Linked DNA regions of Oryzias latipes. The main gene of each other region encodes a partner of the protein of the gene in region 2 in a complex. Links are inferred from orthologs where the notes say so. Each region holds a gene or a part of one and is shown on either strand. Other genes may lie near its edges.

The links.
Region 1: the proteins of paxip1 (region 2) and histone H2AX are in contact, whole or in part, in a crystal structure (PDB 3SQD), measured with the Homo sapiens proteins. The link is inferred for Oryzias latipes from reciprocal best matches to the Homo sapiens genes PAXIP1 and H2AX. Residues at the interface, in NP_031375.3 of Homo sapiens: Phe871, Thr872, Gly873, Phe874, Pro876, Lys907, Thr909, Arg910, Thr911, Val912, Lys913, Pro986, Glu1050, Leu1053; in NP_002096.1 of Homo sapiens: Gln138, Ser140, Gln141, Glu142, Tyr143.

The regions. Positions count from the first base shown.
Region 1 is NC_019872.2:15,231,042-15,238,951, forward strand, and holds histone H2AX, read left to right. Parts: upstream 1-4,397; 5' UTR 4,398-4,496; coding exon 4,497-4,922; 3' UTR 4,923-5,108; downstream 5,109-7,910. Other genes in the region: phospholipid transfer protein C2CD2L, read left to right, coding at 205-376, 447-545, 859-992, 1,397-1,610, 1,904-2,154. UniProt on the Homo sapiens protein: Variant histone H2A which replaces conventional H2A in a subset of nucleosomes. Nucleosomes wrap and compact DNA into chromatin, limiting DNA accessibility to the cellular machineries which require DNA as a template.
Region 2 is NC_019875.2:13,215,486-13,224,347, forward strand, and holds part of paxip1 (PAX-interacting protein 1), read right to left. Parts: intron 8,330-8,862; coding exon 8,217-8,329; intron 6,446-8,216; coding exon 5,683-6,445; intron 5,609-5,682; coding exon 5,514-5,608; intron 5,431-5,513; coding exon 5,335-5,430; intron 4,505-5,334; coding exon 4,367-4,504; intron 3,488-4,366; coding exon 3,366-3,487; intron 2,975-3,365; coding exon 2,790-2,974; intron 2,669-2,789; coding exon 2,625-2,668; intron 935-2,624; coding exon 867-934; intron 1-866.

The DNA.
Region 1 (7,910 bases), on a different chromosome or scaffold from region 2:
GCTGTTATGTATGGAAGCATGATGTTCTGTACATTCCTAAGTTATCTAACACATCTGCACCCTATCTGCAAACTGTCACACCTACTTAAACTGCAGTGCAGCTCCAAACCCTTTTTGTTTTTTTTCCGAGGTCTTTATCCACCTACTTGTGTTGATAAAATGTTTTTCTCTTTTTATGCGAGCCGTTCTTTTGTTTTCCTTTAGTTCCTTTATGTAGAAACTGAAGAGCCTCACAGCTCCCACAGTACTTTGCAAATTCGCCCCTCAATCACCCCCACCAAGAAAGTTGACGTGGACCGAACAATCATGCCAGATGGAACGATTGTCACCACCGTCACCACCATCCAGTCTCGACCGAAGCTAGACAGCAGCCCAGGTAAATCCATGAGTTGATACATAAGAGCTGTGTAGAGGCGATGACTTTAAGTGGTTCTGGTGTTTTTCAGGTGATTCTCCTCTATGTTCTCCATCCATGGTGGAAGTGAATGATAAAAAAACAATGGTCATGTCTGATGGTAGAAGAAGCAGCAGTCCCAACCCCAGCAGTGAGTTCCAGACTGAAAAGCAGACGCTGTTTTACATAACAAATGCAAAGCAGCAAAGAGCAGGGTTACACAAGCTAAAAGGAATGCAGTTTATAGGACAGATCATGCATTCTAGGCAGGTAGTCCTTCTGAAAATCCTCGAGTCTAATGAGAGGCTCACAAGGGATCCGATTTAACAAAAAAACAAAAACAAATACAGCACCAATCAAAATGCGATTAAGACAGATTTAGTGAAATTCACGAGACTTAGCAAGTGTGTTTCAAACTCTAATGGTAAAATACTGATTTACACATCTGTGTTTTTGTTGCTCAGAGAGCAGTCGCCTCTCTAACGGCCTGGATCCTGTTGCAGAAACGGCTATTCGGCAGCTGACAGAGTCGGCGTGCAAAGTTGCTCGGAGGACACCGACAAAAAAGAGCACGCTGATCATCTCCGGCGTGTCAAAGGTCAGAGAAATATCCTGTAACGGTTTTAATCCTTTCTCGATACCTGAACCTTCTCATCATATAACTTCATTCAGGGAAACTTCACTTGGCATGCTCAAAGGTGGATTTTCTTTTTGAATACATGAGTAGGGAGCTTTTAACCTCAAGGAACAATGTAGGATACAGTGACATAGATCCAGACAATTATAGTGAGATCTATATTTAGCAGCCCCCACCTCTTTGGTCTTCTTCACATTAGGATGACCTAAATTTATGTGTGAAAATCTGTTAAAACATATTTAAGGCAGGTCAGTGCACCAGAATCCAAATCCACTGGAATCTGCTGTAACAGCATTGATCTTAATCGGTGTTTTAAGCCTGGATTTTCACCGTGTAGCTTCCCTCCTCCCTTCTATTCTCAATAGATTCCCCTCACAGAGGATAACTGTACACTGTCGAGTGACTATGCGGCAGCAATGGACGCAGCCATGCACGGCAACCACTGCAAGGCGGGGCACCATCAGGACCTGGATGAAACCACGCCCTCTGACGTGTCGGAGCGTCCGTCTGTAGAAGACATGGAATCCGACACTGGATCCGCAGGTGGCTTGGAAACCCGGAGCCTCAAAGACCATAAAGGTGAGGTAAACAAATTATTTGCATTTTTGCCAATATAATGATGTTTTCTAAGGAATGATGATGTAGCTTACATAACAGCATGTTCTCACAGGTAACAATGTCTGACTGTGCAAATACTGCCCTCTGGAGGCTGAGCTACAGAATGCAAAACAATAGATGATAGATTATGGATTTTAAAAAGTGATATTTTGATTAAAAAAAGGGTTAAATAAATGGTTGCTTCAACTTTAAAGAACTATAGCTAATCTCACAAAGTACCGTATTCCAAAACATGAACTTTCTGCTTCCTGCAGTGAGTTTTCTCCAGAGTGGCACAAAGTTATGGTTCCGCAAAAGACATCGAGAGAAGGACTCCAGCCTCAGCCAGTCCCACGAGAACATATCCAACATGAGCAACTTTACCCCTACAACTACAGAGATCAGCCGCAAGAAGTCTGGAAGCTTCTCACGGCGTCTCATCAAGCGCTTCTCTTTCCGCTCGTCTGGCAAATCTAAAGGCACGGTTCCAGCTACCAATGGAGGAGCAAGCGCAGTGGACAACTAATCACCCGATTGTAAATCAACTTCTGCACTAATTTATGACAAGCAAAGCACCCCTGGTGGGTATTGTGCTTCTTAAAGGGACTGGGAGCTATGAGAGGAAAAAAAAATATTGCACCTTTAAGACAACTTTACAGAATCTGAAATTGGATAAGAAAATGTGTTCGTCTTTAAGGAAATCCGCTGCTTGGAGAGAAGAAGGTAATTACTACACTGAAATATTTTGTCTTCTATTTAAGCAAAAGCTTTGCTGACACTGGCTGAAGAAAAAACTTTTCATGGAGATGCTGCCAGTTGCACTTTGGAAGGTTTTTCTTTCTTTACAATATCTGTAAAGTTTGTGGTTGTACAAATATCATTTGGGATTCATGTGATACTTATTTTACACCCCCAAAAGGCGTCAATCAAGTTGCATCATGCTGTAAAAATAAGACATTACCATGTTTTTTTTAAAAATAAAACTGTAGTTTAAGGACTGATTTAACTTAACCAAATTTGTCTTGATTTAGCTTTATTGTGCCCTCATATCTGCTTGGCATTATATACGTTTAGAGATGTCACTTCACCGTTATATCTGAGTGATTCATTTTATGTAAAATATCAGAACTTGAGTTTGTTTTCAAAAATGTTGTTTTGCCAGCATTTCTTATATGACTAACAAAAAACAGATTGGCTCTGTGGGTGATGCTTAATGCAAATTATTATGTCTATAAATGTCATTACTGGGTGACCTCATTGTTTCAAAAAATGTCTAAATGAAAAAGAGTTAAGAATGCAGGTTTTTGCATTTGCATTTAACAGTTGCATTACCTTGAGAAACTGTTATAAGTAAGAGAAAACATTGAAAGGTAGCCAGATAGAGAAATTTTTACAAGATGGGTGGTCTGTTCTCAGAGCTACAAATTCAGTTTTGATAAAATGGAAATCTGCTGCACCCTTCCAATGCTATTAGAGGTAACAGAATTCACATTATCTGTTTTATGACTTTTTATCTGAATTTTGATTTTTGCTTTTATCAGTGACTGCAATAAGTAGGGGAGAAGGGCACAAACTTGAAATAAGTGTTAATATTCAGGTTTTTTCTTCTCTTTTGACAGATATATATTCAAAGGTGGAGCTAAGCATCCACAAAACAAATTTACAAGAATGAAACTGCAATATTGAAAGTTTGTGTGACCTATTACTTGTTCAAAAATTGTATTTATTGCAAATAAATTATTTTCTAAACTATTACTTAATATTAGCATCTGTATTCTCTTTTTTGTGCATTATTCAAAGAAGATTCTTACAGCAAAGATACAAAATACATCAGTATACAAACCTCTTTCCTTACACAAAGGTTTCTTGCAGATCCGTATGGTTTCCCTCTCAAACCACTATTTATCCAGGTATACTGGATGGAGAAGATGTCTTTAAAAAGTAAATAGGTATCCCTTGAAAAGGAGATTTGGTCTCAATGGGAATTTTTAATCAACAAAACTCGATCATATAACTCGAACACAGCTTGGTAAATCTAAGCTGGAGTTCCTGAAAAAAATAAGAGGTAAGCGGTTTGTTTAACACAACTGTTTGTAACAGTATGCTAAATACTAAAGTCTTTAATTTAAAGTAACTTTTTAAGTAAATAGTATCCAGTTGTTCCTACATTCTCAAAATGAGTTATTGGAAAAAACACAAACTGCTTAGATAGCTTTTTGCCAAGATATGCAGCTAAAATACAGCGCAACAAACACGTCCCTTTGCTTATTTATTTATGTAAACATCAATAAAGTTCTTAGATTCCATAACACTCACAATCTTTCAAAATTCACACACATATACTGTACATATCAAGGTTATTTCAGTTTATGCCACAAAGTGTATAATCTGGCATGTAGTTGAACACTTAAAAGAAATGATCTTAGGTTTTGGAATTTTCTAGATACCATCAACTCTGCTGCTCAGCTTCAATTATTCACGTGACTTTGGTCAGCGGCTGTGTTAAAACCGCCAAAGGTTTAAACCTGGAGGGAACATTTCCGATTGGTCTGATGTGTCTGCCACATAGCCACTCATAACATGGAGACCAAAGTACTAACCAATCGTTTCCCTTTATCCCACAACCCTTTACGTGATTGGTTCATAGCCTAAACGCTGTAAATCGAAGACGTTGACCAACGTTTCCGGTTTCGTCTCGCTAAACCAATGAAATCGCAGTACTTCCTCTTTGAAAGCCAATCGATGCTTAGGGCGGGACCAAAACGGGGTTTATATCCAGGTCAACGTGGTGCTATTTGGATATCTGTATTGCAGCACTGAAAGACAACGTTTGTGTTTACAAACCGGAGGGAACTTTCTACATCGAATATGTCCGGAAGAGGAAAAACTGGAGCAAAGGCCCGCGCTAAGGCAAAGACCCGCAGCTCACGTGCTGGTCTGCAATTCCCCGTGGGCCGTGTTCACCGTCTACTCCGTAAGGGAAACTACGCCGAGAGAGTAGGTGCCGGAGCCCCGGTTTACCTGGCCGCCGTGCTCGAGTACCTTACCGCTGAGATCCTGGAGTTGGCCGGGAACGCCGCCAGGGACAACAAGAAGACCCGCATCATCCCACGCCATCTTCAGCTGGCCGTTCGCAACGACGAGGAGCTGAACAAGCTGCTTGGCGGCGTGACCATCGCCCAGGGCGGCGTCCTGCCAAACATCCAGGCCGTCCTGCTGCCGAAGAAGACCGGCCAGGCTACACCAAGTTCCGGAAAGGCGGGAAAGAAGTCTTCGCAGTCTCAAGAATATTAGCTTCTAAGCTATCGCCGCTAAAAACCAAAGGCCCTTTTAAGGGCCACTCACTCACTGAAAGAGCACCTTTCCCCTCATGATGTACATATGACCGATGACTGACTTTACTGTATAAACTACCGTAACATGTACTTAGTAAAACGTTACATTCAGGGCTTTTCATTAAACTGAAAATTTGATTGTTCACTCTTGTTTCTTTGTGTTCTTTCCCTACTCAGCAGAAAATTAAACTATATTAAAGGACTTCATAACATTTACATTGCATAAGGTAGTAAACAAACTAAGATGTCGGAACCGGGATAAATTGTGTCCTAAGGTCTGACAAATTCAAATTAACTAAGTTATACTGCAAAATGTAGTTTTGATCTTACAAAACCAGGAGATTTGTCAAAATTGTGATCATAGCATGTCGTAATTAGTAAAACTAAACGAAATGTTCTTCAAAGTCAGGAGGAAACTAATAGATCTGAATCATGATCGACAATTTGTTCCAAACCGGTTTAGTGTTAAAAGTCCAGCAGGAAACTAAACCCTGACTTAGCTTTGGTTGAATTTTAAACTGTTTAAAACCTTATTGAAGATTTCCAATATAGATTTCCATTTAGTTGCATAACAATTGCCAATATCCAGAGTCAGGTATGAAATAATGCATGTAAAAATAACCAAACCATAATGATAAACCAGAATGTTGATCTTCACGACAACTTATTGATCATTTTACACACAGACGCTGTTCTGAACTATGGATATCCTTAATATACAGATTGAACTTAAAAAAGAGTTCAATAACAGGTTTCACCCAGAGACTTTACATTTGTGAATAGGACATTTGGCCAAAAAGAGCTGGAGATTTATTAAGAACAGACCAGAGTCTGCCCACCCATCCATCCATTCATGATACTGACATTGCCACGTTCGAACCATCCATCCATCCGTCCGTTTCATCCCTTACGGTCACGCCCAGCCCATTTAAATTATCTTTAAAATGACATCCTTCCAGAACCAGCTAAAACGAACATCAACAATGAAATCATAAATATTCTGCCAGAACACTTCAACTTGAGGACAGTACCAAAAAAGATCAATGACTGTTTAACAAAAACTACAAAGTTTATGTTGAATTTGAAGCTATTTTGAATGAAAACTTTAGCTGGGCATGAATTCTGTGAACTATCTTATAGGAAACTTATTTTATTGGTAATCCAAAGTGTATAAGGCAGTGTTTTTCAACCAGTGTGCCGCGGCACACTAGTGTGCCGTGGGAGATGGTCAAGTGTGCCGTGGAAAATTGCCCTCATTAACTGATCTAAAAACATTAACCATCTCCAGGAAATCAGCTCTTTGTTCATCCAAACAGGTCCTGATAAAACACTGAGTAGTTAGGAATATAAACGATCATAAAATACTTTTTTCGTTGTGTTTATTTGATTCTATTAAAGACATTTTGATAAGAATGACGGTAACGCGAAATAGCTGCAGCTATAACTGTGTAAGGAAAAGTCCCGCAGCTTTTACTGTCTCCACGACACCACCAATCATTCTTGAAGGCTTAATCACATGTCATCAGTCTGACCAATCAGAAGTGGTTAAAGTCTCCACTTCCTTGTTCCAATTTAGCTCATAACTCAGTCAGTTCCGACAAAAACACCAGCTAAAGCTCGTATTTAGCAGTGTAACTTTCCACAGAATGCGGTATCAGACCGTGGAACAAGTGAACAAAACCATGAAGCTCAGAGACGCGAGTCTTTCTGCCCTTTTCTCGCAGTTTTCACACTACATCTCCCATGATGCATTGGCTTAAAGGGACAGCGTCTTGAAAACACAACGAACATACAGTTTGTATGTAACTTAAATTTTATTACATCTTTTAGAAAAACATCTGCAACTTCCTGCTTTTTCTGCCACAATTATCACAAAAATGCACGTCAGATTGCCGGGGGGGGGGGCGGGGGGGGGGGGGGGGGCTGTAGATCAAAACAGACTATGAGTTTCTGCTTTTTTTTTTTTTTTTTTTTGGGATGCTGGTGTGCCGCGGGATTTTTGTCAAGGTTAAAGTGTGCCGTGGCTCAAAAAAGGTTGAAAAACACTGGTATAAGGGGTTTTGCAAACCTTCCGAGCAACGTCTTCCACAAATGTATTGCATAGTAGTCTTTGCAGCTGCTCAACTACATAATTAAAACTTGTTTATTTTGAATGCACTTCTAATTAAAACTACATCGTTGATAATGAGCGTGGTGAATGCACATGTGGAGTCACTGAGGTGTTGATAACCTGTTTTTTTTGCTGTTTGGTTTAACTGTTGTTATTTGTAACACATGTGACCTAAATGTGTGGTTAAAGCCTGCAAAACACATTCTAACGGTTTTACATGTGTTCACCTGCAGGTGTTTCCCTTCTTGCACACAAAGACAAAAACATCCTTTTTTTGCAGTGTTGATGATAGAGCTGAATGATCACAAGGAAGTTTAAATTATTTTTAATTGAATTAAAGAAATGTTTTCTTTATTTAATAAGCATGGATATTAATGTTTATTCTGTGTCAAGCCTGTCATGTAAAAAAACAAATATATGTAATATTATTAATTCATACTAAATATCTTTTGCATTTGAAAAGGTGAGGAATTCAACTGAACACTGCAGATATGTTAGGATTGTAGTTAGTCATCTTTGCCACTAGAGGGCGACGCTTGAAAATGCTTGATGTGCCTGTGTCAGCCTGTATCTTTAAGTATTTAAAATTCCTCTCTAATTTAAATTTTAGCCTAAAACTTAAATATCTATTTAACAATAAAATTTTTGCAATAAACTGTTTTTTTGTAAAACAGTTTATTGCATGGATCTGCTAAATTAATTTTGGGATTCTGGGAACAGATATGGTTTTTTCATGTCAAATGAAAATAGATGTTGGGGTTTCTTAGTGCACCTCAGAACAGCTGAAATCTCCTTCCTACAGGAGGATCCTGCTGATATTTCTGTCTCTTCTGACCG
Region 2 (8,862 bases):
TGATCGATCAAACGGGTGTTGGTGTAGGCTGTTAATTGTAAGACTTGCTTTGTGAAGTCTTCATGTTATTTCTGAGAGGCAGGATCGTCATTCTCACTTTCACGTGTTTCTTCCATCTGCCGACGGTGTCGCCGTTTCTCATTTCACCCGTTTTTGTGCGTACGCCTGGGTCAGAGCTTGCGTGAAGGACCGCACATTTTCCCGTCAAGTTTGCTTTTTATAAATCTCAACTATTGCATAGAGAGTGGCGTACGCCTTCTTTTGTGCGTACGCAACGTTTATAAATGAGGCCCCTGCACATTTCTTTTGCAGCTTCTCTTTTTAAGAAACCCTGGTGTTAACAATCTCATTGGTTTATTATTTCACTAATACATTTTACAGTATGTGAACTGTATTAGATTAATAAGAATATCTTCAAAAGATAAATAGATTATTAATGTATTTCTCTACAAATATGTCTAAATGTGTAAACCTTGTACAATCGCATTGATCATGAATTGAATAAATTCTAGAAATTCTTGGTGATACCAGCCCTACATTGAATAATTGACGTCTCCCATTTCTACAACGATGAAGACAATTACACTTTTAGTCGCATAAAAAAAAACAGTGAGAAAAAAAGTGAGAATGGCAACTATGGTTGGAGATAACAGAGGATTATTAAATTATTAAATTGATGAATTGATTGGACTGACAAACAGTAAAAAATTTAGGTAGAAAAATAGTTTTCTTGGATTACTAACCGCTTTTTTTGATTTTTCTGTGATGAACGTTGGTGAATTTAAAGCTTAGAGATACAAAGAGATGCAGAGAAATCCTCCATCAACCATGGCTTAGAGTTTAATGAAGATACATGGTCCACTGACCTGGCCTTTTTGCTCGCTGGAGCACTGCTGGAGTCAGATGCCTTCTGCTTTAACAGTAGATGCAGATTCTGCAAAATGAGATGAATGCAACAGGTTGAGTGGAACATTTGACTCACTGATGAATTAAGCCTCCACACTGATGGTATAAGTCAAACACGGGGGTATTCAGTCATCTATAGCAGAGGTCCCCAACCCCCGGGCCGCGGACCGGTACCGGTCTGTGGGTCATCTGGTTATCGGGCCGCACAGAAAGAATAAACAACTTACATTACTGCCGTTTTATTTATTTTGGAATCTGAAAGATGTTTTATTTTGAAAAATTGCCAGATTCTCTGTGCCATCCGTCTTTGTCACTCTTGATGCAAGGCGCTCTTCTCGGTCACATGACAGGTTACCGCTAAAATAAAACCCAGGAACTAGCAAAATGAATCAAAAACAAACATCTTTGGAAAGTTTCTTTACCAAGGGGAAAATGCACAGCCAGGACACAGAAGAGGAGCCTTTGACTTCCAAAAAAAGAAAGCTACATGTAATAGACAGTTCTTCTTTTTTGCACCACGAGTGTGGGAAGGGGAGAGGATGATGAGACCTGTGCGATGTACAATGTCATGCATGTCAAAATTGTCTGACATCATACCGGTCCGTGGCGCTAAAAAGGTTGGGGACCACTGATCTATAGGAAGCATCTGGAGTCTGAAAATCTTTTTCTGACAGAGATGAGCCGCAAGCGTCTCGTAAAATCAGAGGTTGCAGTTCTCTCTTTAGGCAGTCCTGTAAACAGACTCTGCCTAAATGTGTAGCAGAACCTCCTAAAGAACCAGGAACTAAAGCCCAACAGGAAACAGCTCAGGTACATTAAGGCAAAGTGTCGGCATTTGCTCACAGTTCAGCGGGAGGCAGAGAGTGAATGCTTTTAGCAGGAACCTCAATTATTATGTTGAATCGTTAGGTTGAACTTCTCTTAATCATTTTACAACAGTAGAATCACTGAAACTCAGAGGAGAATCAGCCATTTTAAAGCCTGATGGGCGAACAACAGAAAACTGACACAAAAATCATGATGAACTGATAGGACTGAAGTGAATTCTGGACCTTGAGGGAGATTCAAAGTTGATTTAAAAGTACAGTCTTGTTTTGTTTTGGTCACTTCCCTGACTAAAATTCTGACTTGGTGCTAGGGCTGCACGATATGAGGAAAACTCGCATTGTGCCATATTAGTGATCAATAACGCAATGACGATATAACATGCCATCCATGAACAAATAGCAAAACAACCAAAAACATTTCTATTTCTCTGAAACAATTTAATTTAAATTAGAGTCAATGTAACTTAAATTATACTCCAAATGACCCTCATCTACATAGGAGGCAGTCATCTAACATAATAGGCCTCCTTCTGATTGGTCAACATCTTGAAGGCGTCCATCTGATTGGTCAAATGCATAAATTGATTTATTTGATTCGCTAAAAACTTCATGCTGCCATAAGATTGTTTTAGCACATTTAAGGTAACCATATATTTAAATTTCACCATTTTTTGTAATTAGTATTGCATAGCTTGATATTGCGATAACGATACATTTTAGATTTATTGTGCAGACCTATTTAGTGCCATATCATAAACAATTAAAAATAAATATATCAAATTAGCAGATATTAGTCTGAAAATATCAGCATATTTACACAAAGCCAACATCCTGCATCTCCAGTTCAGATGAACACTAAACCCTCAGAACGGTGGAATAATCCAAACTCACCGCCAGCGCCTCAGGTGAAACTTTGACTGCAGTTCTCCAAGCAGCTGCAAAAAGAGGAAATCCAGCACGATGATCAACAAACACCGTGTTGGAGACGCCCACATTTTTAAACCATTCAGTTTCTATCTGGTTTGGGGTGAAAACAAATGTTCCGGCTGCTCATACCCAACAGGTTTTGGACCAGCTGTGGATTAGGAGCCAGAGGTTCCGGGTGGCCGTAGAAGGAATATCGGCTGTGCTGGATCTGCCGCAGCGCCTCAAAGTTGCCCAAAAGTATATCACACAGCCACTGAGCGTTGACGCAGGCGATCTTCCACTCTTTAGCCTTTTCATACTTAAGTCCACTCGGTCTGCAGAGAAATTAATCCACTACCATTAAAGTCATTCCATTTTCAAACAGGTGATACAGTTGTTGAAAGCAGCCGAAGGGGGACAAGTTCGACGGTGTGTCGCCCTTTGGTGAAGTCCCACAATCCTTCACTTGGCTGCAGGCTGGCCGAGAACTACCAATAACTACCAATCCACTTGTAACAAAAGCAGCAACTAATTGAAGTTGTGCTGCTGTAAGTTGTAAGTTCAGAGGCGGAGTGAATCAGCTCAGTAGACATTCGACAAACGCACCAGGTTTGGGATTTTTGCATGCAGTCTGCAGTGCTGCTGAGTTTTAAAGCAGAGAATTTGCTTCTGAGCATCCATCACACTGATGCGTTCCACAGCACTCATTCATCTTCCCAGCCTTACTCTTTGCAGATGAGGACGGTGTTGCTGCGGCACAGGTATCCTGTGAACCTGGCACCGGCCAGGTAAGCCATCAGCTTCAGGTCGTCTCTGTCGGCATCCACGAAGCCCGTCACTGATATGATCTGAAAGAGGGGTCACGGCAAACAAAAAGCTTCAACGCCACAGCACAGTCCAAGGTTGAAGAGATCAGTTCTTAGAATTTAAATGGATTCATTGAGTTTATTCTCAGCGGAGGATTTCTTGATAATAACACCCAAAGGGCAGAAACCTGTCAGTCCGGACAAAACAATGGTAGATGACAGCTTAGAGAGACACTAGACAACCGTTTATCAGTTTTACTATTTCTTAGCCCTTTTGCACCAGAGCTTTAGCTCCAGTGTTTACATTCTTTGGACTTCCGTAACTCTTTAACCGTTTACGCAATTAACACAATTCCAACAGATTCTGAAGTGGAGAGAAGCAGCTTTGCACCAATATGCAACACTTTACTGACGTAAAGATACTTTTCTTCAGAAGTACGTTAATTGCGTCAACGGTTAAAGAGTTGCTGTAGTTCAAGGAGCCTGTGTTATTTAGAGAACAGCTCCAGTATGAAATGATTAGGCGCTATTGCAAAAACTACCGGTAAGTGTGGCCTTTGTTTTTTAATGAGCCAAGAGTTTGGCTATTGTGACGCATGAGCCAGGCATCCGATGAGAAACCCATTTTAGATGGAATCTTTCAGTGGTGCGACCAATGAAAATCTTGGATCACACCAGCCGTTTGGTGGTAAAACCAAATAAAATTGCTGCAACCCTGAAAGTATTCATGTAGTTTAATGAGACATTACCCCCATATTGTTGTCTTAAACAATCAGTGGGACTATGGTGAGACTAATACATTTAGAGTTAAAGCGCTGAATTAAAAAAAAACTCAATACATTTGTAAAACACATTTGATGCTATAAAAACGCACAGTTCAAGTGTCCCCTCTCCCCAAAACGCTGTACAAAGTGGACTTACATGCTGAGAGCAGGGTTTTGCCCCCGGAGGGAAAGCGAAGGGCAAATGCAGAGTCCGGTGAGGAGGAACCATTCTCTTCTTCTTCAGCACTGTGTTGAGCCAGTGAGCCGTGACGCATCGCTTTCCTTCTCTGAGAGCCTGATGGAGATAAAGCAGATGGTTGAAAGGCTAACAGACTCTGGTAACTCTCCGGTCACTGGAATGGTCTTTCAGAGTCCAATCTTCATTTCTCTCGATGAAGCACACATCTAAAGAAAATAAAGCTCAAAATGGCATTTCTGAGGATTTCTTGATTCAAATTGGTGTTAATCAGGAGCAGAGAAAAGAAAATGCAGTTTGAAAAGCTTGCAGCTGTTCCGTAGAAGCTACTACGGGTGGATCATCAGCTTCCTGCTCCGCTCCATTCTGATGCATCCACTTGCAGACAAATAGATCCACGATCTTCATTATCCTTGTCTGAGCTGGAACCTGGATCAAAAGTGTACGACTGGATAGCTCCAATATTGCTCAGCATTTTAGTCGCACACATAATGATAGGTTGGGGGTGCGAGGGCTGTAAGCCAGCAGGAGAGTGTAAACAGGTGGCTGACGAGGAGTGGGAACGGGTTTGCTCTGCGCCAACAGTCCCGCCTACAAGTCAGAGGCAACTTTCTAATGAACTCCTGCTGCTCTGCAGAAACTATGTCCTAAAAAAAACAACACAAGTTTTTGGGTTTTGTCTAAAACGGTACAATTAAAAGACCACTGGGAACACTTTTAAACTAGATCAAAAGATGATCGGAGAAGGACTTTAAGAACTGAATTATTAATCTCTCCTACATGATCAATCATATAATAGTTTGAATTGAAAGGGATGCTACCCGTACATGTCCCTCATGGGTCAAAGTTCAACAGGTGCACCAAAAGATTTGATTTTGAACAACTGAGTCCGATTGTACAGGTAAATGAGCTTTGCGGTGGGTTCTTACCTGTACGTACACGTTGCTGACCTGACTCTCACATAGAAGATGAGTGCAGCGGCTGGTGAGGGTGGGATCCACGGTACCTCCACAAGCCTGGATGACCTGGTAAAGGAGTTTGGATAAGTAACATTGACCAACCTCGTTTGCCTGCAGTCTTTTTCTGAATGGTGGGGTTGAGTTCCTACCCGTTTCCATGTAGCGAGTAACTGTTTGTCTGCCATTTGCTCCGGATAATCAGCAATAACAAACACACATCCAAGCAAAAAGCCATCCTGTGGAACTGAGAGCAGGAGTTCTGGTTCAGTATTAGTATTTCCCAACAAATGAATCCAGATTGATGCTGTAACGACTCACTGTCTAGCCCTGGTTCATGTCCAAACAGCTGGGAAACAGGCTGTGGGTGGTGAGGCTGTGGGTGCTGATGCTGCAAAGTGGTGGTCTGCTGCTGTGGAAGCTGGAGGACCTGCTGGTTCTGGTTCTGCAGATGCTGCTTCTGGAGGTGCTGCATGTGCTGCTGTTGCTGCAGCAAATGTTGTTGCTGTAGATGCTGTTGGTGCAACTGCTGTGGATTCTGTTGTTGTTGTTGCTGTTGCTGCTGCTGCTGCAGCAACATCTGCATGCGCTGCTGCTGGAGCTGCTGCAGATGTTGCAGCTGCTGTGGCAGACCTGGTCGCAGGAGCTGCTGAGGTCGCAGCTGCTGCTGGGGGAAGGCGTGGGGCTGCTGCTGCTGCTGGGAAAACATTTGCTGTTGATGCATTTGTTGTTGTTGTTGTTGTTGTTGTTGCTGCTGCTGCTGTTGCTGTTGTTGGTGCAGAAACTGCTGCTGCTGAGAGAAACCCTGTTGCTGAGCAACCTGTGACTGTTGCAGCTGCATCATCTGATGCTGCTGAAGGTGCATTATGGGATGCTGCTGCTGCTGCGGTAACTGGTGGTGTTGCTGGGCAGTCTGGTGTGACTGCTGAAGCAACTGCTGCTGTTGCTCTGCTGTGACGGACTGGCCTGTCAGCTTGGAGTGGTTAAAAGCGGCGGGGTTGCAATTGCTCGGGGTCTGAAGGCGGTTCTGATTGGTCTGAGGCTCCATAGCTTTCGTTTGATTCCCTGCGAGATTTTGGATGATCTGCAGGGAGACAAAGAAATACTTTGAGAAAAACAGAACTTAAGCATCTTTAGACTAACCACCACTCATGGAAAATCAGCTGTCAGGAACGCATGACAACAAATAGCTTTTGAACAAAGTGGAGCAGGAGCTACTGAGGAGGATGATACTTGCTTTCTGATGCTTTTTTGTGTGACTTTTGTCAGAAGTTAATGCCATTTATAAAGTTAGTAATACTCAAGTTTAGTGTTAAATAAAAGTACTTCAGGTTCAGATTCAGCCAAGTTTACAAACAACGACAGCATTTACTGTCAATTTTGATGCAGACGCAGACCATAATAATAATACCTTATAATATGATCTATAAGGTGTAAAATTATAACAGTATAATCTGTAACAATAAAGTATCCGACATGCAATGTTAAATGGTTTTCATGTACATGGTTTGTTATTTGTCTTCTCCCTCCTGTTTTTCACGTAGAAAAGTATCAATAAGAATACCGGATTGATGCCACATTGATAAGAGGAGTAGTATTGATCGAATCTTAACAATACCCATCCCTAGTTTTAAAAGCCCATCCATCCATTCATTCATTTTCAGATCCCAATGCATTCCTTTCAGGGTCAGTGGGTTGCTGGAGCCTATCCCAGCTGCTGTTGAGTGAAGGGGGGTTTATGCTGAGCAGGTCGTCAGTCTATTTCAGGTCCACACATTCACACTTGGGGACAATTTTGAATCACCAATTTATCTATGGATCATGTGTTTGGACAGAGGGACGGAGCTGGAGTCCCCGCAGAAATCCCACACGTGGACGAGGAGAGTATGCCAAGTCCAGCTGGAATTTCAAGCAGGGCGTTCTGCTGTGAGGCAAGAGAGCTAACCACGACACCCCCATGTAGCCTTAGCTTTAAAGGCCTTTTTACTGACAACCATGAACTTAAGGCCTGATCAAACCCTGTGGAGCAAACGTTTTGCCAGGCTGGGATTCAAAAACTGTTTTTTTCAGCTGCAGTCATTGAATGATGGTTATGAAGTGCAGGTCACTGAAACCCATCACCATAGAACACCAAATCTAAATCCTGATCGTGAATTACTCATTTGTTTACTAAACCAAAGTGGTCAGAATGATTCTTCTTGACTTTCCTGCTGCTCCCTTTAGTGGTCGCCACAGTGAATCAACAGCCTCCATCCATTTCTATCCACCCTCCCCCGACATCAACCCCCGTCATGTCCTCCATTACATCCATGAACCTTCTTTCTTTTCCCACATATCACTCCAGTCTTATCACCTTTTACCAACAGAACTACTGATCCTCCTCTCAACATGCCCACAGATCTCAATCTGTTTGCTGGCATCCACCTCCATAGCATCCATCATGAGCTGTTCCTCTGATAGATACTTTCCTGCCACTCCAGACTTCCATCGCATCTGTTGTCTTCTTTTGCCTGAAGCCATATTGTTGATCATAAATGTTCATGTCTGACTTCAGTCTAGTTTCCACTACTCCTAATAACTTCTTTATGCGACTCATCAGCTTATTCCTCTGTTTCCACAACTCAGAACGTCCCTCTTGTTTTTCAAAATACACTTTTACTCCATTCTTCAGGCATCATGTCACTCTTCAAGGTGGATAATCTCATCCATCGTCACGACAACGTTCATTGACAAACACACCCTTGGCAAATACCAAAAACTGAACTCAGAGTCCTCCCAACTGCATTAGAAGGATTAACCACAGAGGAGATAGATGGAGATGGGCAGCAGTAAGTGTGTGTGAAGAAGCTTTTTACATGAGCGACGTTGGGTGGTCGGTTGGCAGTCTGCACATCAGAGGCATTGGTGATGTTGCAGAGGGTTATCATGGCCGTACTCCATCCAGGAATGCCTTCAGGAACCGGTACACCTACAGAAAACAAATGAAAGGTGGAAAAGAAATTCAATCCTATGCAAGCGTTCTCAGAATAGAGCCACGCCATCACCAAAGGATTACATTTTCATCTATCCCTATAGAAGAGGGGCGTCACAATCACAACTATTAAAACAAATTCAATATGGCTTAAAATAAAGGGTTGTAGCTGTGACAAATCCTTAAAATCTTTTAGCAAATTTAGCAACAATTATGAACTTTCAGATTAAAAGGCCACTTTTGTGGTGTAATTCTGGCTTCTCCATTATAAATGCAAAAGTATTGTGTTGCTGTCGGTCACATGACTCACAAAACCTTATTTAAGTACTTAAACTCTATTGGGGGATCATATTTAATGGATTCAATGCATCATGTGCAGGGAAGGGAATCTCAGGGTGACTCTCGATACGACGTGATTCACCATACATGGATCACAATTTCATATTGCAATTATCAATGTTACCTTGATCATCTAATATACCACTATTATATAAACAAATATATCTTTATTTTCGATGAAACCTTTTTTT